7 linked regions of the Callithrix jacchus genome follow. The protein of the gene in region 1 interacts with the protein of each later gene in a pairwise test. Links are inferred from orthologs where the notes say so. Each region holds a gene or a part of one and is shown in the gene's direction. Other genes may lie near its edges. The genes, in order: CREB3, PTDSS1, NDUFB6, STX7, LAT, P4HA2 and SLC29A1.

What was found.
Region 2: the proteins of CREB3 (region 1) and PTDSS1 interact in a two-hybrid assay, tested with the Homo sapiens proteins (2 studies listed by BioGRID and IntAct). The two-hybrid records come from large-scale screens. The link is inferred for Callithrix jacchus from reciprocal best matches to the Homo sapiens genes CREB3 and PTDSS1.
Region 3: the proteins of CREB3 (region 1) and NDUFB6 interact in a two-hybrid assay, tested with the Homo sapiens proteins (2 studies listed by BioGRID and IntAct). The two-hybrid records come from large-scale screens. The link is inferred for Callithrix jacchus from reciprocal best matches to the Homo sapiens genes CREB3 and NDUFB6.
Region 4: the proteins of CREB3 (region 1) and STX7 interact in a two-hybrid assay, tested with the Homo sapiens proteins (2 studies listed by BioGRID and IntAct). The two-hybrid records come from large-scale screens. The link is inferred for Callithrix jacchus from reciprocal best matches to the Homo sapiens genes CREB3 and STX7.
Region 5: the proteins of CREB3 (region 1) and LAT interact in a two-hybrid assay, tested with the Homo sapiens proteins (2 studies listed by BioGRID and IntAct). The two-hybrid records come from large-scale screens. The link is inferred for Callithrix jacchus from reciprocal best matches to the Homo sapiens genes CREB3 and LAT.
Region 6: the proteins of CREB3 (region 1) and P4HA2 interact in a two-hybrid assay, tested with the Homo sapiens proteins (2 studies listed by BioGRID and IntAct). The two-hybrid records come from large-scale screens. The link is inferred for Callithrix jacchus from reciprocal best matches to the Homo sapiens genes CREB3 and P4HA2.
Region 7: the proteins of CREB3 (region 1) and SLC29A1 interact in a two-hybrid assay, tested with the Homo sapiens proteins (2 studies listed by BioGRID and IntAct). The two-hybrid records come from large-scale screens. The link is inferred for Callithrix jacchus from reciprocal best matches to the Homo sapiens genes CREB3 and SLC29A1.

The regions. Positions count from the first base shown.
Region 1 is NC_133502.1:142,640,836-142,643,294, forward strand, and holds the end of CREB3 (cyclic AMP-responsive element-binding protein 3), read left to right. Parts: coding exon 1-18; intron 19-99; coding exon 100-168; intron 169-866; coding exon 867-951; intron 952-1,048; coding exon 1,049-1,133; intron 1,134-1,218; coding exon 1,219-1,553; 3' UTR 1,554-1,697; downstream 1,698-2,459. Other genes in the region: GBA2 (non-lysosomal glucosylceramidase), read right to left, coding at 2,011-2,277. UniProt on the Homo sapiens protein: Endoplasmic reticulum (ER)-bound sequence-specific transcription factor that directly binds DNA and activates transcription. Plays a role in the unfolded protein response (UPR), promoting cell survival versus ER stress-induced apoptotic cell death.
Region 2 is NC_133517.1:30,976,288-30,980,754, reverse strand, and holds the start of PTDSS1 (phosphatidylserine synthase 1), read left to right. Parts: upstream 1-1,619; 5' UTR 1,620-1,732; coding exon 1,733-1,911; intron 1,912-4,467. UniProt on the Homo sapiens protein: Catalyzes a base-exchange reaction in which the polar head group of phosphatidylethanolamine (PE) or phosphatidylcholine (PC) is replaced by L-serine. Catalyzes mainly the conversion of phosphatidylcholine.
Region 3 is NC_133502.1:139,755,218-139,759,902, reverse strand, and holds the start of NDUFB6 (NADH dehydrogenase [ubiquinone] 1 beta subcomplex subunit 6), read left to right. Parts: upstream 1-1,650; 5' UTR 1,651-1,770; coding exon 1,771-1,950; intron 1,951-3,773; coding exon 3,774-3,866; intron 3,867-4,685.
Region 4 is NC_133505.1:139,117,854-139,121,786, reverse strand, and holds part of STX7 (syntaxin-7), read left to right. Parts: intron 1-1,031; coding exon 1,032-1,125; intron 1,126-1,803; coding exon 1,804-1,941; intron 1,942-3,057; coding exon 3,058-3,110; intron 3,111-3,625; coding exon 3,626-3,722; intron 3,723-3,933. UniProt on the Homo sapiens protein: May be involved in protein trafficking from the plasma membrane to the early endosome (EE) as well as in homotypic fusion of endocytic organelles. Mediates the endocytic trafficking from early endosomes to late endosomes and lysosomes.
Region 5 is NC_133513.1:28,976,509-28,981,001, reverse strand, and holds the start of LAT (linker for activation of T-cells family member 1), read left to right. Parts: upstream 1-1,511; 5' UTR 1,512-1,788; coding exon 1,789-1,888; intron 1,889-2,080; coding exon 2,081-2,108; intron 2,109-2,210; coding exon 2,211-2,245; intron 2,246-2,491; coding exon 2,492-2,573; intron 2,574-2,711; coding exon 2,712-2,899; coding exon of another isoform or gene 2,900-2,986; coding exon 2,987-3,050; intron 3,051-3,128; coding exon 3,129-3,223; intron 3,224-4,493. Other genes in the region: SPNS1 (protein spinster homolog 1), read left to right, coding at 563-1,033. UniProt on the Homo sapiens protein: Required for TCR (T-cell antigen receptor)- and pre-TCR-mediated signaling, both in mature T-cells and during their development.
Region 6 is NC_133503.1:76,233,430-76,237,878, forward strand, and holds the start of P4HA2 (prolyl 4-hydroxylase subunit alpha-2), read left to right. Parts: upstream 1-1,518; 5' UTR 1,519-1,576; exon of another isoform or gene 1,577-1,801; intron 1,802-2,115; exon of another isoform or gene 2,116-2,118; 5' UTR 2,119-2,256; exon of another isoform or gene 2,257-2,402; intron 2,403-4,449. UniProt on the Homo sapiens protein: Catalyzes the post-translational formation of 4-hydroxyproline in -Xaa-Pro-Gly- sequences in collagens and other proteins.
Region 7 is NC_133505.1:52,687,481-52,692,209, forward strand, and holds the start of SLC29A1 (equilibrative nucleoside transporter 1), read left to right. Parts: upstream 1-1,873; 5' UTR 1,874-1,875; coding exon 1,876-1,948; exon of another isoform or gene 1,949-2,030; coding exon of another isoform or gene 2,031-2,246; intron 2,247-3,886; coding exon 3,887-4,128; intron 4,129-4,729. UniProt on the Homo sapiens protein: Uniporter involved in the facilitative transport of nucleosides and nucleobases, and contributes to maintaining their cellular homeostasis. Functions as a Na(+)-independent transporter.

The DNA.
Region 1 (2,459 bases):
TGGGGGTTTAGAGAGCAGGTATGAAAGGGAGAGAGACTCAGTTGTTAGATTTTTGAAGGGAGGATACAGGTCATATACCCATATCTTTATTTCCCCCAGGGTCTTGAAATACACAGCCCAGAATATGGAGCTTCAGAACAAAGTACAGCTTCTGGAGGAACAGAATTTGTAAGATTCCCTCCAAACCACTGCCTTCTTGTGCCCCTCATTTAATGCCTTCTCACTTTTTTTCCCTTGCCTTACACTTGATTTCTAACTGGGCAGCTCTCAAATGCTAGGTCTGGTGCCTGGCCTTCACTAGGTCTCTGATTCCAAGAAGCTCATAGTAGTGGGGAATACATTTACAAGTAACTAAGAATACAGTAGGGGGGAATACATTTATAAGTAACTAAGAATAAGTACCAAGAAAGAGAAAGAGGGTAAGAAAGACCTCATGGACTTTGATAGTAGTTAGGATTCTGGAGTTGGGAATCCATGGGAAAGCATTCTAGGCAGAGAGAATACAACATAGTCCTCTTGGGCTAGAACTCTTAACACAGGTGAGCTGGGCCAGAAAGTAGAGAACACAGAGAATGCCTGGTGAGGATTATATGCATAGCTGATCAGACAATGGGGAACTACTGATGATATTTGCAAAGGAGGTTAAGTCAGGGCAGAGAAGTTTTTTTGTTTTTTGTTGTTTGTTTTGTTTTAACGAGGAACTTCAGGCACTTTGTCCACAGAGAGGAAGAAGTCATTTGCAAAAATAGAATGAAAATAAGAGAGAGGATCCAGTGCAGAGATGGAGGTGTCCTGAATAGGAATTTCATTGTGTCTTAGGGTGCCAGGCCAGAGGATGCTCACCACTGGCCCCCCTTTTCCTCTAGGTCCCTTCTAGATCAACTGAGGAAACTCCAGGCCATGGTGATTGCGATATCAAACAAAACCAGTAGCAGCAGCACCTGTGTCTTGGTGAGGATGGTGATGAGGGGAGAAATCCTTTGCTTAGTTGGTAGGGACAGCAGTGCAGTCCAGAGCCCTTCTTCATCTCCTTTTTCCTGTGCTCTAGGTCCTGCTATTCTCCTTCTGCCTCCTCCTTGTACCTGCTATGTACTCCTCTGACACAAGAGAGAGCCTGCCAGCTGAGCATGGAGGTAAGAGGCTTAAGGATAGCTCTCAGGCATGGGCAAGGGGAGAGCCTGGGTTGGCCTCTGAAGATTGTCTCCTTTGTCTCCTCAGTGTTGTTCCGCCAGCTTCGTGCCCTCCCCAGTGAGGACCCTTACCAGCTGGAGCTGTCTACCCTGCAGTCAGAGGTGCTGAAAGACAGCACACACCAGTGGCTGGACGGCTCAGACCATGTACTCCAGGTCCCTGGCAACTCTTCCTGCCTGCTACACTACATGTCTCAGGCTCTCAGGGCAGAGCGTCCCCTGGAGTGGCTATTCCCTGACCTCTTCTCAGAGCCTCTCTGCCGAGATCCCATCCTCCTTCTGCAGGCAAATCTCACAAGAAAGGGGGTAAGGCTTTCTACCTATAGCCCCTCTGTCATCCTGCAGGACAGATACTCAGGCTAGATACAAGGATATGTGGAGGGGTCTCAGCAAGAGCTTGGTGGGCTCCCCATCTGTGTCTGAATAAAAATGGGTGGGCGAGGGCTGGCTGCAGATTCTGTGCCCTGTCAGAAAGACTGAGGGCTCAAATACACCACATTTACTGGCTTTCTGGGTCTTTTATTATTTGTAGCCATGTGTCTGTCACCCCATGAATGTACCTGGGGAAATCAACTGACCTCGCTGAACATTTCACACAGTGAGGGAAGGGGTGAGGAAATAAATAAATAAGTGATTCCAATGCTGCCTGGGTTACCCCCAACCCCCATTTACTGGCACAGTTGGGTGGGGAGAAGGGAAAGGGTATGATTGTCCTGATGGCTCAGGGCTGCAGGAGGTTCAGAAGGGAAGGAGGAAAGGCCAGGCTGGAGGCTGGGATGTTAGTGCTTCCCTCCCACAGTTCAGAGGGCTCACTCTGGGCTCAGGTTTGCATGGCCTCCTTTGGTCCAAACATAGGCCCTGTCCTTAGTCCTGTGTCCTGTTTGACTTTTGGCCTGGAGGCCTTTTTGTGCTGCTGCTGTTGCAGGGCTAGCTGCATGGCCCAGATGCTCAGTGGCCGCATGTAGGCCAGTGAGCGGAACACTCGCTGCTGGCAGTATGCCTCTGGTGTCTGGAAGGCCAGACCCAGGCGCTCCCACACGGTACGGTAGCAGCCTTCAGCTGTCTGGAAGCCCTCCCAAGTCAGGCCCTGTTGGGAGAGATGACAGTTATACATACTAACTTGGCATCCTCTGAATAGCCACTTCCACTAGATAGATGGAGACAGTAGAGTCTTTGCCTTCAGGGAGCTCCCAGCAAGTGGGGGAAATAACTATGACCCACAGACAGAAGCCTGAAGGCAGGAGCTGGAATGCATACCAGGGAAAAATG
Region 2 (4,467 bases), on another chromosome or scaffold:
CTCTAAATGTGCCAAGTTTTCCCTCAAACCTACGGCATTAATTCTCTGCACAGTAGTCCGTAAGGGCACTAAATGGGAAGCAGAAGACCTTGGTTGTGCTACCTTGACAAGCTATTTCTGGCAGCCGTCTAACAAAATGTCTAGCTCATGGTGTGGGGGTGGGGAGTCAATAACCATTCTTCAGACATTTTTTGTAAAGGCTAAGGGTACAATAAGATGATTCATAAGGCCCCTATCAGCTCTAACATTTTTGACGTTTAAGCACTTCATCCTACTTCAAACTCCTGAAATCCCAAATTCACCCTGAAGCCTTTCCACACTCAACACCCCTTAAACATCAGGAAGATTCACTTTCAAATTTTATCCAGTCATTAAAAGATCTTTGTGCATACAACTGTTTATCTTTGCATTTTTATTTACAAGTGCACTATCCTCTCCACACCATTTCACTGTGGTTTACACATTTTAACTGATTAATTGTTCACTCACAAGAGAAGGGCTGGGTGTCTCATCTTGGGAGCCACCCTTGCAGGGACTATTCTCCACTGTCCCAGAGCCCTGAACTGCTTTAATGCTTACGGAATGGAAAGAAATCAACAGCAAGTACAGTTAACTCACTTTCTTACACAGTATGCAAAAGCGGGTAAGGCATGTGCAGATGTGTATAAAAGCCCTGTGAGGTAACCGTAAGTCTTCTAACACGGTCCTTTCATCAGGAAAATTACAGAAAACCCTTAAAGAAACTCTAGTTTATTAACAATTGATATATACAGCTCATATATATATGTACCCAGTGCTTTGCTAGAAAAAGACACTGAAATAGTTTTTCGAGGGTTCAAGATTTCTACCTATGAAAGGTTATAAATGAAATCAGGAAAGAAAGGGAAGTTATGGGGGTAGCTTCCGCATAAAGGGTCTCTCAATACTTCCCTAGGCCATTTCAGCCCATTTCAGTTCCCCAAACCCAACTTCCGCAGGAAGGCAGAGCCCCCTCCAGAAGATTCTCACACAGCGCTAATCAGCAAGCATGGTTGAGTTTTCATTACATCAGCCGGGGAAAAACACAAAACCAAACCAATCACCCAAGACTGGGCCGCGAAAACCTAAAGGCCCTGGGGCGCGGCCTGGACGCAGGTGCATCGGGACCTGAACCCCTGCCAGGAGCGCCATCCTCGCGCTGGGGCAGCTCCTGCTTTACCTGTGGGGAGGCCTGCGCCCCGTAGCGGGTGCCCCGGGGACCGACCGACTCGCCGCGCGCTGTCCCGCGGCGCCGCCCGCCCGCTCCGCCGCCAGCCAGGCCCAGCGCAGCGGCGCTCCCCGGCCCACGTGGGCTGCGGCCGGAGTGGGCGAGACCATGTGTCGGGCTGCGCGGGGAGACAGCGGGCTGCGTGCGCGAGAAAAAGTCAGCTACGGGGCCCTGCTGCCCCTCTCCGGCACGCCCCTCTCCTGGAGCCCTGTGGACTTCAAGTCTGAAGGCTGCTCAAGTGCATAGAGATGCCTCAGCCGGGACAACAGCGTGGGGACGGTCAGCGGCGCCCCCTGTCCCAGGCCGCGGTGGCGGCGCCGCGACCCCGCCCTCTCGCGCCTGTCCTTTCCTTAGCTCCCAGCCTTTGCTGGGCGCCAGACCCGGCTTCGCAGTCCGGCGATTCTCCTACTGTGGCTCGTCACCCCCGGGGTCCCGGCCTCCGCGGGCTGGGGCCGCCGCCACCGCGGCAGGACGGGGAAGCGGGCCATGGCGTCCTGCGTAGGGAGTCGGACCCTGAGCAAGGATGATGTGAACTACAAAATGCATTTCCGGATGATCAACGAGCAGCAAGTGGAGGACATCACCATTGACTTCTTCTACCGGCCTCACACCATCACCCTGCTCAGCTTCACCATCGTCAGCCTCATGTACTTCGCCTTTACCAGGTGGGGCGGCCGGGCGGTGCAGGGGGCGCGTCCAAGGGCGAGGGAAGAGGCGGGAGGGAGGGTGGCAGGGAGGATGGCCCGGCATGGCTCTGGGTGAGGAAGCCGGCTGGCTGCTCCACGCACACGCACTGGCAGCCCGCCGCCCACGCAGGCCCTCCGCCCGCCCGGTGTCTCACAGCAAGGTAGCCTGCTCCCCCACCCCTCAATGCTGCTTCTCCATACAGCGCCTCCGGTTACACAGGGAACGCACGCGAGTCACTTAGCACGATCGCCCCCCCCCATCCCCACCCACCACACTCAGCATCGCTCCACACAACATCACGACGCGGGGCCCACCTCTGCACCGCTCCAGCCCCCGTCCGTACCCAGCACACCGCGTGAATCATCTTGTATGAACCACTTTTAGCACACACTGCTACACACATGAAGCACCCCAATCCACAGCGCCTGTACGCACCATACATAGGCCCAGGACACAACCTAGATCCTTTCCTGTGGAACTCCAGTATTCGGCATGATCCGTAATGCACACAAAATCCACATGTGCGCTACATACACCGTCTTTCCTGTGCAGCACTTCCCATCTGCATTGCACACAAGTAATCCAGCATAATCCTCCCCCCAGCCTCAAACACTACCATCTGTACCACAGAACAAACTGCCACTCTAAACACACACATCACAGCGGACCTTTCCCTTCCAGCACAGCCCAATACCCATAACCTTCTGTGTGCGTAGCTGCACAGACAGCAGCCGGCGGCACACATCACGCAATACATACCCTACTCACTCATTACCTAACATACATGCTGAAATGTGATCTTGTCCAGCTATTTTAATGGTGCCTGGTATATAGTAACTGCTGTGTGTTAAATGAAACACTTAAACCTCACACAGCATAACACAACTCTCTTATTCCCCTGAAAACATACACATACATTCTAACATATACCTATTCATAGGAGCTGCCCAGCCCAATTCTTGAACACACCTCATGTAACTCTATGGCACTGCACTTGTGGCCCCTCATCCCTAACCCAGGGAACGAATTTATCCCTTGTTCTTAAGGGGGTACACACCGTGGTTCCTACTTGGAAGAATTTGTACTTTCTGAATGAACCTCTTTAAAGAAAGGAAAGTCACACCTCCCTCGCCATTGTGGCTTAAAAGGCCAAGTTAGAGTAGTGTAGTTTTTGAGCCACACTGTTGGTTTCAAAACTGGCTGTGTGTCCTTGGTTAAGTTGCATAAGCTTGCCCTGAGCCTCAGAGGCCACTCTTGTAAAATGGTGATGAAATATGTACTTACCTCATACAGGGTTATGAAGATTAAATGAATGTGTGCGAATGCATTTAGGAGAGTCCCTGGTGCACAATGTACAATTCCTGTCAGTTACTTCTCTCCCAGTATTTTTATCTAACAATCAAGGTTCTCTGTCAGGGTCAGCAGAAAATGTGTAGGGATATATATATTGGGTAATCATAAGGATTGAGAGAACTTCTAGTATTTGGAAGGAGGAGCAGTTAAAGGATACTAAATGTGTTGTGACGTATGTGACAGCGCTGTACAACATCAAGTAAATTGCCTCCTACACAGTCGTTTATGTACACACACGAGTGCGGTTGTGCCTCCCTTGGGAATAACTGCAGTTTTTCAAATCCTCATAAAACTAATATCCTCCCACATCACACTTGTTCCTTACCTCCAGGATTCACTTGACTCTTGGTTCTTGTTATGTAAGTGTTTATCCATTTGAAAGAATCTACCTAAAGATATAAAGCTTAAGTAACAATTACTTTTTAATGATTGAGGGATCTTGCCACTATTACTATAAAATCTGCTAAGGTTGTGCAACAGGATAAGACCAGACCTTTCTACAGTACCTAACCAGACGTATTTCTAGCTTTGGAGAGAAATCAGTCATGTCGCTACTATGGTCACTTTCAAATAATTCATTATGTTGTGATTTTATCACTTAGTAGCTGTGTGACCACATAATTTTGCTAGGCATCAGTTTCCTTATCAGTATGTAATATGAAAATATCAATATATTAATCTGTCAGGATTATCTGTCATGAGGATTAAATTCATCTTTTTAGATAATCTGTGTTTAGCTCAGTGCATGGCAAGTATTAGGTGCTTAATAAGCATTAGTTGTTATTATGATGTGATTTCATTGTATGCTAGTGTCTTCTAAGTTATATTTGTTATTGAATGAGTATCCTCAGTAATTGAGAAGAAGGATAAAAGCATTAGAGAAATAGACAGTAGATAACATAATACCTGTTTCATATTAGCTTCAGTTTAGCTTCATCTTATGTGTGGGTTTGAAATAATGAAATTAGTGAGGGAGTTTCTTTGGAAATTAGAAAAATAATTGTAGTATTTTATTTTAAATAATGAGAAGCAAGAATGAGCCATTTGTTTCAGCCTTTCATCTTTAATATTATTCTAGGTCCTTTCAAAATAGATTTCTCTTTCTCTCTTCTTATATAGAAAGTCACATTCTGCCAGGCACGGTGGCTCATGCCTGTAATCCCAGCACTTTGGGAGGCTGA
Region 3 (4,685 bases), about 2.9 Mb from region 1:
AAGCTAGCTTTGGAATATAGTCACTTTCTTTATACCAGATTTCTCTCTTGTTAACTGAACTCTGCAAGTGTTGAGTAACTAAACCTGTGTTTCAGTTACAATTACTTATAATACCTAATACAATGTCAATGCTCTGTCAATAGTTGTTATGCTGTATTGTTTAAAATTCATACCACTTTTTTTTTTTTTCCTGAATAGTTTCTGTCTGTGGTTGGCTGAATATGTAATTGTGGAACCCACAGATAAAGAGGATTGACTATTTGCCCTTTTTATTTTACCCTTATAAAATCTCATCCTCGAGTTCATGTCCTTTGTAGGGACATGGATGAATCTGGAAACCATCATTCTCAGCAAACTGACACAAGAACAGAAAACCAAACAATGCATGTTCTCACTCATAGGTGGGTGTTGAACAATGAGAATACATGGACACGGGGAGGGGAACACTACACACTGGGGTCTGTTGGGGGTGGAGGGGCTAGGGAAGGGGTAGTTGGAGGTGGGGAGGCTGGGGAGGGATAACATTGGGAGAAATGCCTAATGTAGGTGTGTGGGGGGGGAAGGGATGGAGGCAGCAGACCACCATGGCATGTGTGTACCTATGCAACAATCCTGCAAGATCTGCACATGTACTCCATACTAGCTTCATGCACTTAGGCCCCAGCAGAGCAGACCAGACCAGACCAAACCAGAATGGAGTCGTTTGTGCTAAGTACCACATAATCAAACAGAACTTTGAAATAGGCCAGTTTTCCAAAACCAGGAAATTCCTCTAAACCTGAGTCAGTGAAATAAGGAAGTCCCTTCTGCTTTAACCCTAAAAGTAACTTTGAAACAATGAATCCACTTTTTGTTCTGTTTCTGCTTTCTTCAGCCCTTTTGCCAATAAACCGACCGTGGCTGCTCAGCTGATCAGAACACTCATTCTACTCTATAGAATGAAGTGTTTTCTGATTCTAGAATCACAAATGAGTCAATTCAGATCTTTAAACTAATACATTGTAATGATGTCTTTTGACTGTTGTACTTTATTCAAGCAGTCCTTTATTTAGGAATTTGGGGGTAATTTCCAATATTTTGCTATTATGAATCGTGTTGACTAATCGTGCATGCCCTTTGATATTTTCACCACATATAGTTTTGGGTGAAAGCATGAACGCATCTATGCATTGTTGCTAGATATTAAGCTACTCTTTACACTGTTGCTGTACAAATGGAGGGACAGATGAGACAGCTGCCCAGGGGCACTTTAGCAGTTACCGGCACAGCTGGGATTTGAACTTGGATGAAACTATTTTCATACACTCTCTAGGTCATTCCAAGGTGGGAGAGGCAAGCGAACAATTTTGTATCTGGCCAGCATATTCACTGAAACACATATGCTTATCCTTCCTGCTCCCAGCATACAAATTCTTCCTGAACAAAACCTACAGTCCTCTTATTTAGCATACTTTCGTCTAATATTGCCACTTTTCCCAGACCCCACAACTAAGAGTAGTCTGCGTCCCCACAGGCTCGTAATCCAGGCGGGTAAAGCGGAGGTAGCCGGAGAGGAAATTGGAGGTGGAAAGCTTTGCGCATGCCAGGACACGGCTCTTCTCGCGAGGAATCTGGGCCCCCTGCAAAGGCAGGACCAGGATGTGACGTAATAACCGCGCGCTGCCCCCAGCGGTGCCCTCAAGGTCGCTTTGCAGAGCTGGAGAGCGCTTAAGTAAGGAGGCCCTAGTTTGAGGGCGCTCTGTGTCCTTTTGCCTTAATACCAGCGGCGACATGTCGGGGTACACTCCGGATGAGAAACTGCGGCAGCAGCAGCTGCGAGCGCTGAGAAGGCAATGGCTAAAGGACCAGGAGCTGAGCCCTCGGGAGCCGGTGCTGCCCCCAGAGGCGACGTGGCCTATGGACAGATTCTGGGATAAGTTTTTGGCAAATAAGTCCCCTTGGAGGAACATGGTGAGTGGTGAGTGGTGATCCTTCCCAACGCATCCCACCGCGGCCGGTAGCCTGGACACTGGACGTACGCTCCCTGTAGCCCCACTGATAACGTTCCGTGATTGGTGACACTGGCCTGTCCCGAGAGTCCTCCTGGAGTCTCGGGAGGCAGGAGTCCAGGAATATGTATGGCTTTGAGAGAATCATGCCTTTTACCATCAAGTACAGTGAGACGGAGGCGAATCTTAATACTTAGGTTTTCCAGGACGCTGCACGTTTGATTTTCTTGACTGTAGAAATCTTTTCCCAGAATTAATAGTCAAGGACTGGCTGCAATTAAAATTCTGTGATTTTACTATTTGAGGACACTTGTCTAACTTTTAAGTGTGAGGTTCTAGAGACCAGGTAACACAGCATCCAACTACCAGAGGGCACAACTAGCCGCTTGCTGGTAGTACAGCTCCATGTGATCAACATAAAAGACAGGGTCTTGTTGGTATGCCTAGTGAGCTACGTTGAAGAGCTACATTTATAAACTACCACACTGTACTTTTAACACAGTGTTTCATTGAAAAATGACATTTGGGTCTTTGAAGAAAATCACTCATTCAGAAGCTTTATTTTCAAGGCCTCTGGGTATTTTCTTGAGGTCTGTTATGGGTGATAAACACATCTCAGAATTGCTTTCAGTTACCTGCAAAGCTTACTGATAATAGTAGTAATAATAGTAACACTTGGGTGCTTGCTGTGTGCTTGGCACTCTACTGAGGGTTTTACATGTGTTACTTCATTTCTTTATTCCTGTAAGGTAGAAACTATTCCTAATCCTCACTTTAAATGTGAGGAAACTGAGACCTACAAAGATCCAGTGATTTGCCGGTGGTCAGGGAGCTAGGAATTGAAGGAGTTCATATTGAAATCAACATGTATCTATTTCTTACTGTGCTACAAATTCTAGTGCAACAGAATTGTTGAAAATTTTTCTGAAAAAGTGGTATTGGATACTTATTTATGGTGGTAAAATTCAACTCTTCTCCCACCCTTTGTATCCCAGACATTATCAGGATATTGTCAGTCACCGATTTAAAGCTGAAGTCCCATCCATCAGCGAGTGATCTAAGGAAGTAAATAAATAATCATGTGTTGAAATTCACCTTACCTTACTTTGAGTTAATTTGTTACTTTATAATCATATCGGTTATAATTCTTAGACTCTGGATTACCCCTTCCTTGAATGGATAGGTGTGTTTTAATCAAATTGGAGGACATGGGAGAGTTCCATTTTTAGTTTGTTTTTTCTTTAAATAACGTTGCAGAAGGCATTTTGGAGTGAGCTCGAGGCACCCCATCTCAGTATGTAAAATGTCCTTTTTCCAGCATTGATGTCAAGGTTGTCTGCCTTATACCTAAAATAATGTGAGTGGCATTGATAGCTAAATCAGAGAGATGACTATACCTGAAATATTCTGTAGGTTTGATTTCTCTAGTTAAATACATTAAAATTATTCTTTTATTATTTTGCTATATTTTATATTTAACAAACTTATGATAAAGTTAGTTTTAGAAGTCTTTAAAAAAATCTATAAATGCCTTGCTATAGTCTTGCAAAATACTACTTATCTTAAGCTTTTTGGTTTGGATTTTGTAGGTATCTTCTGAAAAACTCTGCATTTACTAATAATATTTAAGTAGATGAAGTTAGCCACAGACTATAAGAAAATAGGTACCATTTAGAGATTTGTAAAATAATAATGACATTGTTACATCATTGATGCTTTTTGTTCTGCCATAAATATAAAATATGGGATATGTTTAGTTTGTGTATGTGTTTTTTTCCCCCCCAGGTCTATAAGGTATACCGAAAGAGTATGTTTATTTTTACTTGTGTACTTATTCCTGCCTGGATTGTTCATTATTACGTGAAATATCATGTGGCTGTAAGTATTCCTTTCAGAATTTATTTTCAATATTGTCCAAAATTATTTTCTTTGTGGGTATCTTACTCTGCTTAGTGGAAATAATCTGTCACTTGTAAACTGATTTTGATCTACTTTGAATTCCCTTAGGGAAGAGATTTAATGAAACAAGTAATTGAAAATAGTTTTTCAAAAATTGTGTCACTGTATTAGTTTACAACTTGAAATGGATTTCTCATAGGAATAGTATTTAAAAGATCAGGATGTAGTGACCTAATAATATTAGGGTAAATTCAGGTCATGAATAGGAAGGGAGAAAAGAATTTCTGCTCCTTTATAACAACCTATATCTGGTATGAGATAAAAATTCAAAATAGACAAAGCTTATCTTTGTCCATCCCATTTCTGTTTCCTTCATTTTATCTGATTCTTCACAACTTTATTTATTTAGAACTCAGGATGTCCAGATGCCTGAACTTTTTCACTGATAATAGATCTTGTATGGGCTGATTCAGCTGAGCCAGTTGTGGTTTTTAAAGGCTCAGTCTGGTGCAGGATGTTGGATCCCACGCAGAATGAGAAGGGCATGCATTTTGGGAAGTGGCATGGCAGAGTGAGCAGTGGTGGCTGTGTAGCATGGAATGTTGGAGCACAAAAGAGTGAGGAGGGCATTCATATACCAAATGAGGGGTGTTAGATCCTGAGTGGGTTGCAGGGGAGGAGGGTGAGCACATCTGTTTGGGGAACAACAGTGGCAACAGCCTAGTATAGGATATTGGAACCTGAGCAGAGGGAGGAGGATATCTGGAAGAAGGATGGCATGAGGCAGCTGACAACTCA
Region 4 (3,933 bases), on another chromosome or scaffold:
GAGGATGTACATAGATTATATGCCAATGTTACACCTTTTTTTTATGTCAGGGACTTGAGCATCAACGGATTTTGGTATCCACAGGGGTCCTGGAACCAATCCCCTGCAGATACCAAGGAATGACTGTGATTTACTTCTTTTATTTATTGTGTTCTTTCCCTTTACAAGGAAATGCTATTATTTTTTCCACCACAAACTTAAATAATTGTAAACTTGCTTCAATATTGCCTCTTTTCTTTTTGTTTATTTGTTTGTTTGAGACAGTTTCCCTCTGTTGCTCAGGCTGAAGTACAGTGGTGTGATCTCAGCTCACTGCAACCTCCGCCTCCCATGTTCAAGTGATTCTCCTGCCTCAGCCTCCTAAGTAGCTGGGATTACAGATGTGCACCACTGTACCTGGCTAATTTTTGTTGTTTTTGGTAGAGATAAGGTTTTGCCATGTTGGACAGGCTGGTCTCAAACTCCTGGCCTACGACGATCTGCCCACCTCAGCCTCTCAGAGTGTTGGGGTGACAGACATGAACCGGCAAGCTTGGGCCTTTTTTTTTTTTTTTTTTAAGTATCTATAGCATATACATGGTCATATAGAGAAATAGGAGAGGCCAGATATAACTAAGATCTGGGAATGAGGTACAGTCTAAGGCAACAAATCTTTTCTTGCTCACCTCACCTTCCAGGTGTGAGATGTGGATAAAAGGCTCCCACATCCCCAATATCTCAAACTTAAAGGATCAGACGTCCAACAGTCTCCTTTTCAAGTTTCCTCTGACTTGATTCATCTGTTTCTAAATGGTCATTGATTTTTATTTCTCTAAGCTCAGCTAACCTGTGTGAGTGAAGAACCTGACATACAATATTTGCTCAATATTTATCAAAGAAAAGGACATGAATTTTTTTTTACGAAGTTCAGAGCCAGTTTATGCAAAGGCAATTTTTATACAACTATTTGTCAGTGTTGATTTAAATGGCAGAGTTGCAGCTTAAAGAAGTATATTAATCCTTTGGCCATAATGTGTGTTTTCTCACTTCAGGCAACAGAAGCAGCAGTATACTAACCAGCTTGCCAAAGAAACAGACAAGTACATTAAAGAGTTTGGATCTCTGCCCACCACCCCCAGTGAACAGGTATGAAGCTTTAAGACCCATTGTTGATGTATTGAATGTGAAAAAAATCAAATGCATTGTAGGATCTTTGAACTCTTATGCTAAAAAGGAAATCAAAAATAATTCTGCTTGACATTAGTTCACAGAACACAAAACTATATTTAATTGCTCAGGTAGTATCCTGTGGTTCAATAAAGCAAAAATTATTTCCATGCATTTGCCCTGACCCGTAATTAAGTAAGTTCTCAGAAAATGCTTCCTGAGTAATTATTTCCTGGCCTCCCAGGTCTGACTTCATGCAACGTGCAGACTCATTCAGCATGTGAGGTGTCCTGGGGGAACATATTTATTTCCCTGCTTATGCAATGGAAGTTATTACTTAGCTAAAAGCATAAGGCTTTATTTGTCTAAAAAGGAATTGCTTAAAATAGGCTCAAAATCATGAGCTAGTGTTTAGCAGCGTGAAAACTTGAGGTGACAAATCCAGCACAATGGGTCTTTTGCCTCAAGTTAAATATGTACAGTGTTTGACATACTGTCAGAATGTTATTGAGAGTTAATCCGTAAGGCCTGGTAATTGGGGAGTAAGTGAAAACTTCAGGATTAGATAAAGAGCCAGCTAATGATAAAACAGCTACCAAATTCTGTTGAACTTCACAGCTTGATTCTACTTGGCCTTGTTTTTTCTCTTACCCCTAGCGTCAAAGGAAAATACAGAAAGATCGCTTAGTGGCAGAGTTCACAACATCACTGACAAACTTCCAGAAGGTCCAGAGGCAGGCTGCTGAGCGAGAGAAAGAGTTTGTTGCTCGAGTAAGAGCCAGTTCCAGAGTGTCTGTAAGTATTTAGAGAGACATTCTAGAAATAAACATGATTACTTTTTTTTTTTTTTTTGAGACGGAGTTTCGCTCTTGTTACCCAGGCTGGAGTGCAATGGCGCGGTCTCGGCTCACCACAACCTCCGCCTCCTGGGTTCAGGCAATTCTCCTGCCTCAGCCTCCTGAGTAGCTGGGATTACAGGCACGCACCACCATGCCCAGCTAATTTTTTGTATTTTTAGTAGAGACGGGGTTTCACCATGTTGACCAGGATGGTCTCGATCTATTGACCTCGTGATCCACCTGCCTCAGCCTCCCAAACATGATTACTTTCTAAGGGGCCCATGAAAGTCAGTAGTAGCATACGATCTGTGAATATCTTGGAAATCAGCACTTGAATATTTATTTTTATGCTTTTCTTCTCCATTTTTAGAGAAGGATGATAATTATGTATTACTATGGTTATTTTTTCTGTGTCATTTTATAGAATATTATAGATTATGTAAAAATTTAGAGACATAATTTGTCAGAAAAGATTAGGGATCAAGTCCTCATTAGTATTCTCATATTGTCTTGGCACTGAGGCTTTCTGCTTGTGTACACACTAATATAGAAAGCACTTTCCTCCTGGATTACACCAAGATGACAAAGATGAATGGTGCAAGTATGTTGTATGAATATTGAAAATGAACATGAGCCTGGAGAAAATAAATGAAACTTTTCAGTAGAATTTTGAATTAATCTAATTTTAAATTCCCTTATAAAGTATCATGAGTTGTTTTCTTATTCCTTAACATACGGATTCCAAGACTGCATTAAGCTTTAACCAAGTAATACTTGAGAATATTTAGTATTCTAACACTTTAGAATATTTAGTCAATTCCTTTCTTGTCTACTTAGAATATAAAATTACTTATAATTATATTATTACTTGAAACAGTTGACCTGAAAAATTAAAACAAGAATGTCTTTCTCTCTCTGTACACAAACACACACACACACATACACACACGCGCGTGCACGTATATGTAAATCAGTTTAGATTATCATAAGGGAAAATATGAGTGTTGTTTATTTTTTCTTATTTTTCCTCTCTTTGCCCCTTCTCATTCCATCCTGTTACTAAATTATTCAGGGCGGTTTTCCTGAGGACAGCTCAAAAGAAAGGAATCTTGTATCCTGGGAAAGGTAAGAAATAGAAAATATTTTACAGATCAAAAGGTAATTTTTCAAAGTTTATACATTAAGGTCCCTAGAACAGAATTAAAACTTTCAGTATATTATATCATAAATACCTTAAGTTTTTTATACATTGAAAACAGAGAGTAAGTTTGAAAAACAAATTCACTAATTATAAAGTATTTATTATATATAAAATTTTCCAAATAAATATTTATGGACTTAATAGACACATTCCCTTATATGAGGTTTAAGTCAGGTGAGAAGAAATACCCAGTTGCCCAATATAACTTCCAATGATTAAGTAATAACACTAAACTCATATTAGATAAAATGATATAAGTGAAATGAAAAATGAGTAAAATTTGATTATTATAGTCTTAGAATTTTTTAAGTGAGAAGTTCTGTGACTTGGAAAAATAAAATCTCCTATTTAATGAATATATCTTAAATAGGAAATGAGTCTCATTGTTTTGAATACCAACCAATCTTTGTTTTTTTCCACATTCATTTTTTTCTGTTAGCCAAACTCAACCTCAAGTGCAGGTGCAGGATGAAGAAATTACAGAGGATGACCTCCGCCTTATTCATGAAAGAGAGTCTTCTATCAGGCAACTTGAAGTAAGCCTTACATTATAGCCTTGGGCTGCTGCTCTGTTCTTAGTCAGTTTCTTATCAAGATGCTTGGATAATGCTGGGCGAAGGCATGAGAAAGAATTTTTTTTTTAGGCAGCTCCCTCTGTGGCCCAGTCTGGAGTGCAGTGGCATAATCTCAGCTCACTGCAACCTCTGCCTCCCAGATTCAAGCAATTTTTGTGCCTCAGTTTCCTAA
Region 5 (4,493 bases), on another chromosome or scaffold:
AAGTAGCTGGGATGATAGACATGAGCCACCGCGCCTGGCTGAAACCTCCTTTCCTTTGCTGGGCTCCACTTGTCTTTCTTCCTGGATCTCAGGACATACCCTCCCGGCTCTTCCGCAAGGCTCTCTGACTTCCCTGGCTCTCCTGTCTCCTCTCTCCGCAGATCTCTGACCGCCTACGCCGGAGCTGGCCCCCCTCCTTCTTGTCCGAGTTCCGGGCTCTGCAGTTCTCGCTCATGCTCTGTGCGTTTGTCGGGGCGCTGGGCGGCGCGGCCTTCCTGGGCACCGCCATCTTCATTGAGGGCGACCGCCGGCGGGCGCAGCTGCACATGCAGGGTCAGTTAGGGGCTGTCCTCTGCCCAGCTTCTTGATCTGCCTGTCTGTCCGTCCATCTGTCTGCCCACTTCTGTGCACCTGGTGGCTCAGTCCACAGTTTTCTCCTCGTGTCTGCGTCTACCCCTTGGGCAGCTCTGTGACTGCCCCATCCATTTCCCGCTGCCTGTTTGCCCTTCTTTGGCTTTGTCTGTCCATCCGGTTCACCCTGGCTCTGACCCTCCCTCTGCAGGCTTGCTGCGCGAGGCAGGGCCCACAGATGACCGGATCGTGGTGCCCCAGCGGGGCCGCTCCACCCGGGTGCCTGTGGCCAGCGTGCTCATCTGAGAGGCCGCCGCTTGCCTGCCTGCACATCTGCCGCAGCTGGCCCTGGGTCCACCCCACAAGGGGCCTGGGCCTAACCCCTTGGCCTGACCCAGCTTCCAGAGGGACCCTGGGCCGTATCCCAGCTCCCAGACACTACATGGGCAGCTCAGGGGAGGAGGTGGGGGTACAGGAAGGGGATCCCCCTCCACAGGGGCAGCCCCAGGGGCTCGGTGCTATTTGTTATGGAATAAAATTTGTAGCCAGACCCCAGGTGCCTGCTCTTGTCTTTCTCTGGGTGACCTCTGATCTTGCGTCCCGTCTTCACCCCAGGGCTCCTGAAGACTGTGGGTCACCCCTTGGGGCTCTGAGTGAGTCTCTGCCCTTCTGGTCTGGGTGACTGAGAGCGGAGACTGCTGTCCTCTGTGTGAGCTGGCTTGGTGTGACTGTGAGTCACGCCCCTGCTTCCCCGGAGCCTGCCCCTTGCCTCTCAGGACTGGCTGAGGTGGGGGTGGGCACTGCCTTCTGCACCCCAGAATTCCTGCTGTCAGGGCCTCCCCGCTTGCTGCCTCCCCAGGCCCTGGATGTGGAGGCCGTGGCTGCCAGCCAGCAGGTGGCTGTCCCATTCCTGGGGGCCCAAAGACCCCTGGTGAGAGCCTGGGGTGGCTCCCGGGCCTCCTCCTGCCCCCTCCCCAGTGGCAGGGTGGAGTGGGAAGGGGGCGGGTACAGCCGACTGAGAGCTCGATGATTTCCTGCCCTCGCCTGGTGCTCACCACAGCTTCCTGCCGCAGGCAGGCGGGTGGGCAGGCACAGGGAGAGGCGGGCGCTGAGGAGGGGCGGGTAGGGCTGGGACACGGGTGGCTGGGTCCCCCAACTTCAGTCTGGGCCCTGGTCTGACCACCCGGGGAGCAGAGACTTCCCACAGCCAGCTGGACGCCCACTCAGCCCAGAAAAAGAGGGGACCCATCCAGGGAGCCCCGGGGAGGGAACTGCCGCCTCCTCCTGGGCTCCCACGCCACCTGCTGCCTACCTGCCCCCTGCTTGGTCCGATCTTCACCCAGTCCTCACCTGGTCCTCACCCTGTCCTTGCCTGGCCTTGGCTCTGCCCTTGAGGGGCCTGTGGGGTAAGCCGGCCTGCTCCGAGCTCCCCTGCAGATGGAGGAGACCATCCTGGTCCCCTGCGTGCTGGGCCTCCTGCTGCTGCCCATCCTGGCCGTTTTGATGGCGCTGTGTGTCCACTGTCACAGGCTGCCAGGTGAGTGGGAATGGTGGGGTGCCTGGGGCCTGGGCACAGTGACGGTATCCTCACCACTCCCAGCCCCTGCGTCTGTCCTGGCTCTGGCCCTGCCTCCGTTCCAATCCCAGTGTCTCTGAGAGCCCCTGGACTCCCCACACCTTCTGCCCTCAGCACCCCGTGTTCCTGCCTTAGCAGCCCTCTCTTTCCCAGGCTCCTATGACAGCACCTCCTCAGATAGGTGAGTCTGCCCTGGCTGCCCTGGGTCTCCCTCCACTCCCCACGGTGGGGCAGGACTGGGGCCTCTCCCAGCCCCAGCCCCAAGCTGTGTCTTTTTTACCAGTTTGTATCCAAGGGGCATCCAGATCAAACGACCTTGTGAGTACATTGAGGGTCCCCTACCTCCAGTGTCGGGGAGAGGGTCCCCTGGTGTAGGAGTGTGTGTGAACCTTCCCTCAGCCCCTGCCACCCTGGGGCTGCCCACATGGCCTTGACCTGAGCTGGGAGAGGGGAGATGGCACCCCCAGGCCTGTCCAAGGTGCACCGGTTTCAGGAGCTTAGTCTGTTCTTTGAGGCCTTGACGATGTCTGGAGTCCTTCTTTCAACTTGGTTCTGTGTCCTCAGACACACTCGCCCCCAGGCCGCCCACCTACCCACCTGTCACCTCCTACCCACCCCTGAGCCAGCCAGACCTGCTTCCCATCCCGTGAGTAGCTGCTCCCCTACCCCTCCAAACGCCCCTCCACCCCCTCACTTTCTTGGATTGGTAGCCCCTTTCCCTTTTGCAACTGCCATTGCCCCCTGAGCCCCACCTCAGCCATGACCCCTGACCTTTGACTCCCAGAAGATCCCCACAGCCCCCCGGGGGCTCCCACCGGATGCCATCTTCCCGGCGGGACTCAGATGGTGGTAAGTGTGGGGAAGGGCCGAGGAGGCTGGGGCCGGGAAGAAGATCGTCCTGGCCTGAGCTGACTCAGTCTCCCTCTCTCCCTGTCTCTGAAGCCAACAGCGTGCCGAGCTATGAGAACGAGGGTGCGTCTGGGATCCGAGGTGCCCGGGCTGTGGGGGGAGGCTGGGGCCTGTCCTGGGCTAGGCTGACCCCTGTGTTGTTACCCCCAGAACCAGCCTGTGAGGATGCGGATGAGGATGAGGATGAGGATGACTATCACAACCCGGGCTACCTGTGAGTGGCCAGGTGGGAGGTGGGAGGTGGGGGCTCAGGCTGGGCCTGAGCTCACCAGCCCGTTTCACTTCCTTTCAGGGTGGTGCTTCCCGACAGTGCCCCGGCTGCTAGCACTGCCGCCCCACCAGCTCCTGCGCTCAGCACTTCTGGCCTTCGAGACAGCGCCTTCTCCAGTGAGTCGGGCATTTGTTTTTATTTTTTAATTATTTTAGGGACAGGCTGGAGTGCAGTGATGCCATCGTAGTTTGCTGCAGCCTCGAACTTCTGGGCTCCAGTGATTCTCCCAAGTAGGCTACTCGGTCAGCCTCAGCCTCCCAAGTGGCTGAGACCACAGGCGCATACCACCACACCTAGCTTATTTAAAACAATTTTTTGTAGAGACAGGGTCTCGGTATGTTGCTCAGGCTGGCCTTGAACTCCTGGGCTCAAGTGATCCTCCCATCTCAGCCTCCCAAAGTGCTGGGATTACAGGCATGAGCCACCGTGTCCAGGCCTGTTCTTCTGATTTTCTTAACTTTCTCTCTCCTCTTTCCTACCTTACTGTCCTTTCCTTATATCATCTGGGAGATTTCCTTGACTTTATTCTTCAACCCTTCCACTGCAATTTCATTTATCCTGTCCAGAAACTCTTTCTTGTTTTCTGACTGTTCTTTTTTTATAGCCTCCTGTTCTTGTTTCATGGAGGCAATACCATCTTATACATCTCTAAGGATATTAATTAGAAGCTGGTGTGTGTGTGTGTGTGTGTGTGTGTATGTGTGTGTGTGTGTGTGTGTGTGTGTGTGTGTTTTCTTCTGCTCCCTGCACTGCCCGGTTTCCTTTGAGCTGTTTTTCTTCCTTCCTTCTGGTCTCATCCTGCCTGGTCATATCCTCTGGGCTTTCCTCAATGTCCAGCGTTCTTTAGTTTTCTGTTGCTTTGCTCTCTCTGTATATACTTGTCCTGGGCTATCAATTCTACACCCTGGCCTTGTTTGCCATCCAGATTCCTAGTTTGCTCTCTTCTGAACTCCAGACTCTCCAAGTACTTCATTCATTCATTCATTTATTCATTCATTCCTTCAGAGTTTACTGCGGTGCCCTCTACTGGGCTAATGCTATGAATGTAACAGTTCAGGGGGCAGACTGTTCTGATAAAATAGCTGGCTGGGTGTGGTGGCTCACTCCTGTAATCCCAGCACTTTGGGAGGCCGAGGAGGGAGGATTGCTTGAGTCCAGGAATTCAAGAGTAGCCTGAGCAATATGGCAAAGCCTTATCTCCACAAAAAATAAAAAAAATTAGCCAAGCCTGGTGGCACATGCCTGTAGTCCCAGCTGTTCAGGAGGCTGAGGTGTGCGGATCACCTGAGCCCAGAAGGCAGAAGTTGCAGTGAGCTGAGATTGTGCCACTGCGCTCCAGCCTGGGCAACAGAGTGAGACCTTGTTTTTTTAAAAAAAAAAACAAAC
Region 6 (4,449 bases), on another chromosome or scaffold:
TGTTGCTGTTAGGGGACTAGAAGGCTGACTGTAGGGCCTGAAGAGTGGGAAAGATGTGAGGATGAGGAGACGGCTCTTTCAAGGAATTTTGCCATGGTTGAGGACAGAGACACTCAGTGGGGTCGAATGAGGGTTTTGTTCCCATAGTAGAGGCTTTAACATATTTATAGGCCAATGGGAAAGAGCCAGTTGAGAGCAGGTGGTTGAGCCTTCAGGAGAGAAAAGGGATGACCCACGAGGCAAGCTCCTGAGAAGGGTGAGATAGAAGGAAGCTTGTGTGGATGTAGCAGATGCAGGAGGGTTTCTGTGTGGTTTTAGCCCGGCTCAGGCCAGTGGCTGACACAGGCCGAAACGGAGGCTTATTCGTGTTTTATATGTATTTCCGAGTGTGTGCTCCTTTCCCCAGGTCTGGGCCGCCTGCCTGGCCCATGTGCCATAGGGAATATCCAAACTGGGCCCGGGCGGAGGCTGGGCATCTCACGCTCTGGGCTTGTTCCCTGAGAATCTCTGATGAGATTCTCAGACCTTGTTTCCCCTCATTCATGAGAGGAAGGTTCACAGAGCAGGCGTGGGAACCTGCCTGGCCGCCAGGGCCTCCTCCCACTCAGGCTGAGGTTTGCTGCATCTCTTCTTATTCTCTTTCAGACTGGACTGGCTGAACCAGGTGTCCATTCTTTTTGACCCATGGCATAAAGAAAAGTTTGGGCAACCCAGTGCACCCCCGGATTGTTACCGCCCCCCCCCCCACCCCTGCCAGCCTTTGATGGGCCTCCTTATCAATCCATCATCCCTGTACATTATACCAGGACTGCCTGAACCGGATCCCGGGACTCTGAACCCTTCTGGGAGCTCGACCCTGAGGATGGGCCACCCAGTCTTGGTCTCCAGGGTGTGGGCCCCAGGTCCCTAGTCTTCCTCAGCGTCTTCTCCACTGGTCCGCCTCCTCCCTCTAATACCCAGTTCCTAGCCCGGTGACCCCAGTCTCCTGTTACAGCCTCTGTGGTGGTGCCGGGAAGGGGCCCGTGTTCCCGGCAGGGCACCCCAAGCAATGGGCCTGAGCGGAGGCAGGGAAATCCCTCAGCCTCCAGGGGACGCTCTCCTCACAGCCCCGGCGCGGGGATCGGGTCGTGGCGACCTCACCAGGCGCCCGGGGGCTGGGAAGGAGGGCGGGCCAAGGCCCGCAGGTGGGGGCGCACCAAAGCCAGGCGGGCGCGGACTACGTGCGGTGGGCGGCAGGCGGCATGAAGGGTGCAGGCGGCCAGCTCCAGCTCCGGCTCCGGCTCCGGCTCCGGCTCCCACGCTGGTTCCCGCTCCCGCTTCGGCTCCCACTCCTACGCGGTCGGGTAGCCTGGGCGTACCCAAGGGTCGCAGAGGACAGCGACCCCCGCCAGGGCCCTCGGAGCTCGGAGCCAGGACGCAGGCGGGCGTGAGGAGCGTGAGGTTAGGACCAGGCTGCGGCTCAAGTGGGCGGAGCCCCGGCCGCGGCGGGAGGCGGAGCGGCCGAGGGAGGAGGTGCCTAGTGGACTGGGCGACGCCGCGGGAGGTTCTGGAAACGCCGGGAGCTGCGAGTGTTCAGGTGAGCGCGCCGCCGGCTCAGCCGCCAGATCTGCCCCGGGGCTGGGGCGTGGGCAGGGGTCGCTGGACCGTGCGTTCTGCCCGCGCGGGGCTGAAAGTTAGGGGCCGGGGCCTGGGGTCGCGCCGCTAGCAACCCGCAGCGCAGTCCGGGCCGCAGCCCCGCGCCCTCAGCCGTCTGGGTTCCTGTCCCGCTGCCCTCACGCCTTCCCGAACTCAGTGTGGTGAGGTCAGCCGCCGCCCTTCGTGCCGTCCGCTCGGCTGTCGGGCGGGGCTGGGAACTTGGTGGTCCTTCCTTGTCGGGCTCCCGGGAAGCGGCGTCCTGACCCCCGGCTGCCCGCTGTTGGGAGCGGGGGCGCTGCGTTAGCCTGGCCCTGAGGGGCCGGTTCTTGTTGGCAAGGCCCGCTCTGCTCCCTCGCAGGGGCTGGGAGTCCGAGGTCTTGTCTGGGCAGGGTCCAGCTTGGAGCCCATTAGATGGGCATTGGATCAGAAGGACTTTTCTCATCCAGACATCCCTGTGGAACCTGCGTTGTTTTTCCTTGGCAGCCGCAGAGACCCGTGAAAATTCGTTAACTAGTTCAACAAACGGGACCCTTCTGTGTGCCGGAAACCGCAAGCAGTTGCTAACCGTGGGACAGGCGGACTGGAAAAGCTAGTGGGAAGGTCCGGGCCCAGAGCAGTGTGGTGAGCGCTGTGCTTGAAGGGAATAAGGGCTCTGGGTATTTGGTAGAGGACTGGATGCCTCCGGCCAGGGGACTTCCTGGAGGAGGTGACCCATGAGCTCAGAAGAAGGCTGGCAAAAGGGCAGCGTGGACAGAGGAACAGCCTATGTGAGTGGGAGCAGAGACCTTGGCCGATGTCATGCTTTATGGCATTGTAGTGGAAGCAAGGTGATGGGGAAGGGACACTGTAGGGGCTAGCTGTCCATGGATGCTATCCACAAGACCCTGGAGTGAGAAGACAGTGGTGCCTGGTACTGTGCCCTGCATATGTAAAATGCCCAGTTGACCCTTGCATCATGAGTCTGGATCAGGGCATTTCCTGCTTCAGGTATTGCTGGGCAGCCCAGGTGGGTCCCTGGCCTTTGTATTCTATTTGACCCTTTAAGATGGTGTAGGAGAGCAATGGAATCCCTCCCAAGACTGAGATTGTTGTCTTTTACTGTAGAGTGACACCTGAGATTTGTGCTTCTTGATATAGACCATCTGGGGCCTCACAGCCCCAGCCCTCTTGTAGGAGATCCTGGTCCTAAGAGCAAGGGTTGGAGGACATTACTGTGTAGCTTGGGGCATTATTAAATGTCCCAGACTTTGCAGAGATCCATTGTTCACCTAAGAATTTATAGGATGTTTTCGGGATTTGCTGCTTGTTCTCAGCCTATATCTCATCTGACATAACAGGTTCCATAATTTAGTCTCTGTTAAATAAACCAGGATTTCCTTTGGCTAATACTTAAACTGCCCCTGAAGTGTCCAAGGTGCAGCCTCTCACTGTGGTTCAGGGCCTCAGGGCCCAGTCTGTCTGCTTCTCCCCACTCACAGAATATTTGGTCTTTGAATTCTTTTTTTTAAAGGCCTCTTTACTCTTACACAGCCAAGTGTCCACTATGTGGCCCAGCCAGTGAAGCCACGTAGCAAGGATGGAGTAAGTTGGCTGGGGCCTCATCCCAAAGATGCTGTCATAGTGGATCACCCTGCTTCTCCGAGAGCTCAGTAGGTAGACCCAGTGACTTTTAAGCTGAGGCATTGTCTGTGGCATGTGATAGGCCCTTGTATCCTGTAGAAAGCTCTGCATTGGGGTACTCTAGACAGTGCTTACTTAGTCACCTATTTAGACTTCCCCCAGCCGATCTCAGTTTATCCCTTGAGTGCCTTCTGCCTGTTTGGCTTCTGACTAGAGTGTGCCTAGGGCTGGAATGAGGGAGGAGAGAGAGGAGGTGGCTGAGGCACTATTCTTGCCTGTGGGTAGCTCATACTCTGAGATTGCTGCTTCATACTGGCAGCTGGCCATGTGCCAGGGGAGGAGCCTGGCTGTGCTAATCAAAGGAAGAGACTGTGTGGGTGTAGCTCTGAGAAATGAGTCAGGTGAGAGAATCTAGGGTCTCCTCATTTCCTAAGAAGGCCTCCCTTTTTCACTCTGCCTTCCCACATCCTTGGGAGGGTCTGAGGCTAGAGGCAAGGCCTTGGCTGATTTGTGGCCACGCTGGCTGATAGTGTGCAGAGGGCTGGGGGTGTGTCCCTGGCTCCTGGTATCTGTCAAGAGTTTACTATTATGCAGATGTACGTTGGCAGGAAAAGATGTGAGGCAAGCACGTGCAAGTCCAGCAGAGTGCTGGAGTGAGAGTTAAACTTTGGAAAAGTTGCTCACATCTAGCAGTTTGGACATTGGACATTCCCTAGGGTAAGACATCAGCCTGTCCTAGAGCAAAGAGGACTGGAAGGTCCTGTGGTCTGTAGGCTTTGTGCTAGGGACATGGAATGAGGGAGAGAAAGACAGTTGTTTTTTTTCTTTATTTTCCCTCAGAGCAGAGAATGAAAAGTCTGCATGATATACTGGAGCCCTAGAAGAGAGGTCTTGTTCTGTGGCGTCAGAACTCTTAACCTGAAGGGCAGAGGATTAAGTGTTTGGGTAGAGTGCTCTCTAGCTCAGATGGAATCTGTCTGAGCCTGGAAACAGGCCAGCATCTGCTTTGGGCCTTTCAGGAACTGCTTGCTTAGAGTATGGCCTGTTTTGTACCTGGAACTCTGAGGGCCAGGGTGTAGTGGAGATCCTCAAGCCTGGGTACTTGTCGGAGCCTGGAATAAGCAGGTCAGAGGCATATAAGTGCATGAGATCCTAGAGTATTGATCTAATCCCCTGCCTTTTGCTAGAGAACGT
Region 7 (4,729 bases), on another chromosome or scaffold:
TGAGTTAGGGCTCCCAGGGCTGTCCAGCAGGGGGCCCCGGCACCCAGCAACCTCCTCTGCTTGGGAGGTGGCTACAGAGGGGTGTGGGTGCTGGCTAGGAGCCCAGCAGGGCTCATGCCAGATGGACTTCTCTCCAACAATAACAGCCCTGGCTGTTGCCATCAGCTAAGCCAGCAGGGACCCAGTGTGGGTGGGGAGAGGAACAGCCTTCCCTAGTCTGGCCTGGGACCCTCACCACTTCCCTCCAGTTTTCTTCCACCCCCAACCCCCTTTGTACACAATTGCAGCCACTGGCCCCCAGCCTGGTCATGCCTAGCAGATCTTCTGACCACTAGGCCTACCACCCCCACAGACTCAGAAACCAGGAAAGGAAGGTGGGGAGGGAGGAACGGGTCAAAGCAGAGGGGAGAGGAGGGCTAGGAGAGGAAGAGAGAGAGACTGGACAAACATGAGGGTGGGAATTTGGGGGCCATGGACAGACATGAAGCCACTCTCAAGTCATGCGGCAGTGCCTAGAAAAATACCACTGAGACTCATCTTCCTGCCCTCTGGTTAGGGCTGGCGGGAATGGGAGGATGTAAGGGAGGGTTGGGAAGGAATATGTGTCATCTCTGTGGGGCATGGAAACAGAAGGCTGGGGACACCCATTCTGGAGTAGCTTGGGGAGAGCCACTGACCCTAAGTAGAAAAGCTACCTCTCTCCTTAGGGTCCTGTTTCTCTGGGGACAGCGTAGGACTACCTTATCCTTATGATGTGAGTACTGCTAGTTGTTAATCAGTGTCTGTGGCTTCTCTAGGAAACAAGCCCTTCCTGTCAGTGGGCTTGGGGTGGACAGCGTGGGTTGGATTTTCTCCTCAGGACCTTTCCAGCCTTTGGATCATCCTCCAGCACTGGGTGGTGCTGGAAGGGCAGGGAGTGCCCCCCACCCCATGCCATTTACTGCCCAACCAAGAAAAAGGGCCTCCTTCCCCCTCCCTTGGAGAAATGCACTGGACCACCTCTCAGCATACCCACCCCTTCCACATACTAGCGAAGCACGGACTCAGCAACGCTCCTGCCTCTCAGGAGTATCTCCGACTGGGACAATAGAATTCACTCAGGATGTAAGGCTGTTCCTGGCTTTCTCTCTTCCCATCTCCAGCTGTGCCTCGGTTTTCCAAAGTGCTGGATTAAGAAGGGGTGAATTATGAGGGGGCTGCAGGGCTGTGCCCCGCCCCCCTCCGCGCAAACACTAGCACGAGGCAGAGCCATACACCCCCTCCAAGTCAAAGTTGTGGGTGGTGTGGTGTTTGCACGTCTGTGGCTGGGACTGGATGTGTCAGGGATGGGAAAACCCATCATGCTGGTCACAGAACAGAGGAGGTGGGGACAGAAGCAGTTTTGAAGGAAAAGAAGAGGAGGGGGCCTGAAAGAAAGAAGGGGGAGTTAAAGGGAGCGCGCTGGGAGGAAAAAGGTGCAGTGTGGAGGAAGCGCGGCGTGGGCGGGGCTCGGGGAGGGATAGCGGAACATCTGAGGTGGAGTGGGCCAAGGGGGGCTTCGGAGCCGGTCTGAGCAGCGGGTGTGTAGATGGAACAGTCTTGAGATAGATTTTCATGGGAGTTTGTGCAGGTCCCCAATGTGGGGCTGTACCCTCCAGCCCCATGTACCCCATACGATGGACAGCCTTGGTATGGCAGGGCCCAGAGAGGTCCTATTTACTGAAATAACACGACCACGCGGCCCTGGGGGCGCAGGGGCTCGGGGTGGGGTCGCAGAGGGCGAGGAGGCGCCGCGGGGTGGCAGGGAAGGACAGGGGGCGGGGCCGCGGGCGCGCGGCTGTCGCGGAGGTGGCGGTAGGCGCGGGTTGGGGCGGGCCCAGGGGAGGGCGGGTTTGAATGTGCCCTGGCGGGCGCGGGAAGCTGCAGGGAGAGCGCAGATCTCAGCGCGGGAGCCGTGCTTCTCCGGCAGGTGCTGCCCGGGGCGGGGACTGGGGACGGCAGGGGCGTGATGCCGCTGCTTGCCTGCCACGAGGGCCGGGAGGCCAGGCGTTATGCGCGGCCCTTATGAGGGACGCCGGTGGGGCCCCAGGGTGGAGCGTGCGGAGCCGCGCAGCACGTGGCGCGCACGGGCTGGGGAGCCGGAGGACCCTGCGGGGACCGGGACCCAAGCGGGGCTGGGTGGCCTGTCACCTGGGCCTAAAACAGTCTGCCGTCATGGTGACCTCCGCACGGGGCAGGCGAGTGGACCGGTGAACCCGAGCGATCTGGTCGGTATCAGGGAGGGGCTGCCTGCTGACTGAGCTGGCGGAGGGGGATGGGGATGGGGTTGGAGGCTCGCGAGCTGAGATGCGGGGCTGTGTCTTTAACCCCGGGCTTTTACTGGCCAAACTCGTGTCCCTGGCGTCTCCTTCCTGGGCGCGGCCTCATTTACTGATTTACTGTGAGAGTAAATAAGAGGGCGAAGACACACACACCTCGGCTTTCCTTACAGGAGAGAGCACTCATAGGTCAAGGCTGGCTCCAACCCTGCCCTCACACCTCTAGAGATCTCTCTCCAGCCCAGTAGTCCCTTTGCCTGCTCCTCTTGGCAGCCTACTCCTCTCCAGACCCTCCAACTTTCCTTCTGCTTGTGTAAGCTCCCCATGCCAGAATGCATGTGATGGGATGAGGCTGAGGTGCCCACACTCAAGTCGGGCTGGGAATAAGCCTGATCTCCACCTCATTTTTCTCTTTAGTTGGATCAGAGTTCCCCCCACCTCCCAGTCTGCAGGCCTAGCTAAGAAGCAGCTGTTATACCTCTCTATCCATCCCCAAAAGAGCCTAGAGTAACTTGAACGTTGAATTTAGATCCTAGCTCCTCCACTCTTGAGCTCTGTGACCTCAGGCAAGTGACTCAACCTCTCTGAACCTCAGCTGGCCCCATCTGTTTAGTGCTACTACTGGCTCATGCTTGGTTGTGAGGGAAAGATGAGAGATCTGCAGGTAGTGGCTGGACCTGTATGAGATCCTGGGAATGGAGAACTGCAGGAGAGGTGTTGGGAGTCTGGGGCAGGGAGGTACTCAGTTTGGTGGCTGCTTTCACCTCAGCAGGCCAAAGCATGGCTGGAGGGACACCAGATGCTCTGAGCTGGTGTCAGATCCCTGGTTGCCGCTGACCAAAGGCAGACAAGCAAAACACGAGAGCTGGCCAGCTGAATGTTAGGATATGGGTAGGAGGAGAGGGCTCCCCGTGGAGTTGAATTGTGCCCAAGACTGGGATGAGGGCTCCTGAGAACAGAGAGAGCAGGGATGTTGCTGGGGAGAGGGCAGAAATACATACTTCTCTAAGAAAACTGGCCTGAGCCAGTTTTACCCAGGAGAAAGGGAGCTGATCCCCCACCCCAGTCCCCCATCTGGTTTGAAGCTGCACCCGGTCTTAACTGCCAGGAACCTTGCCTGTGGGGTGGGAGCGGAGTACAGGGCATGCGGGTATGAGGTAAGCACCTAGAGGAAGGGTCCCTCCTACCTAATAGAAAACCTGAGCCCTGAGCCTTTCCCCGCCCCCACCCAAGTAAAGACCTCTTGCCTCCATCCCTCTAGAAAATTTAAATGTGGTTATTCACCACTCTGGTGCCTAGGACAGTGCCTGGCTGGCATGCAGAGGTCCTCAGTAAATATTTTTGAAGTGGTGATTGGAGGAATCCTTCTGCCTCCATCTGGAGGTGTGTGGGCCAAGGGGCCAAGGAAGACCTCTGAGAACTTGGAGTTTCTCCAGGGAGGGTTGAGAGGAGCTATGGGGAGGTGGGAAAGCCCATGAGGGTTTCAGGGTGCCCAGCTGCCTGTTTGTCTGAGTGGAGCCTGGAGCATGGCTGCACCTACGAGAGCTCCCCTGCTGAGACTCCCTGTTCTCTTATCTCCTGAGCTACAGGGGTGGCTTTTTATCTCCTGGGTGTGCTTCTGCTTCTTTGCTTGCAAGGCTTCTCAGAATGGGGCCCCATGAAGCCTGAGGGATTCTCTCCTGATACGCCCTGTGCCACCTTTTTCATTCTGGATCTGCACCCAGGAGCCCGTGGACAAGGCCCACTGCCTGATCCTAAACTAGGAGCACCTTCTAGGGACTTCCCAGGCCCAATCTTCTCCAACCCTTCTGCTGGCCAGTCTGGGCACCTGGTGAGTTCCCAGAAAGGGAGGAAGGGGAAGCTGTCCTTACCCAAAACAGCAAGGCCTGGGCCAGCTGGGCCTGAGTGTGGGGGATGTGCCAGCACACATCTGCCTGGCTTCGCATGCCAGCCAATGGGAAAGCTGGTTAATCTGGTGCCAGGGGGTCTCCCCCTACACAAATGAGGAGCAGGAGAGGGAAACTGAGGGAGGATAGGAGATTTGGGATTTGCCCCTCTACTCTTATTTTCAAAGTCACTTTGAGCAAGGGTAAGAGGACAGGAGCCTGTGACCGAGAGGAACTAAGGGGGTACTAGGTGACCCTGGGGTCAGGACTTGGAGGATGGAGAGGGGCCTGGCTAGGCTGTGGGAAGGGCTGTTCCCCCACATCCATTATGAAATATTTTCCTGGAAAACCAGCCAGCAACTAGGAAGCCCCTGGGCAGTGGCTGGAAAGGAAGATTAAGGTGCCACCAGCAGAGAGGCTGGAATCTGGGGTGCCTCTAGGAGAGGACAGCCCCACTCTAACCATGAATCCAAGGCCTCCCAGGGAGGGTGGAGAGACCAGACTTGCGGAGAGGGATCTGGGGAGCCTCTGGCTTGGCCTCAGTCA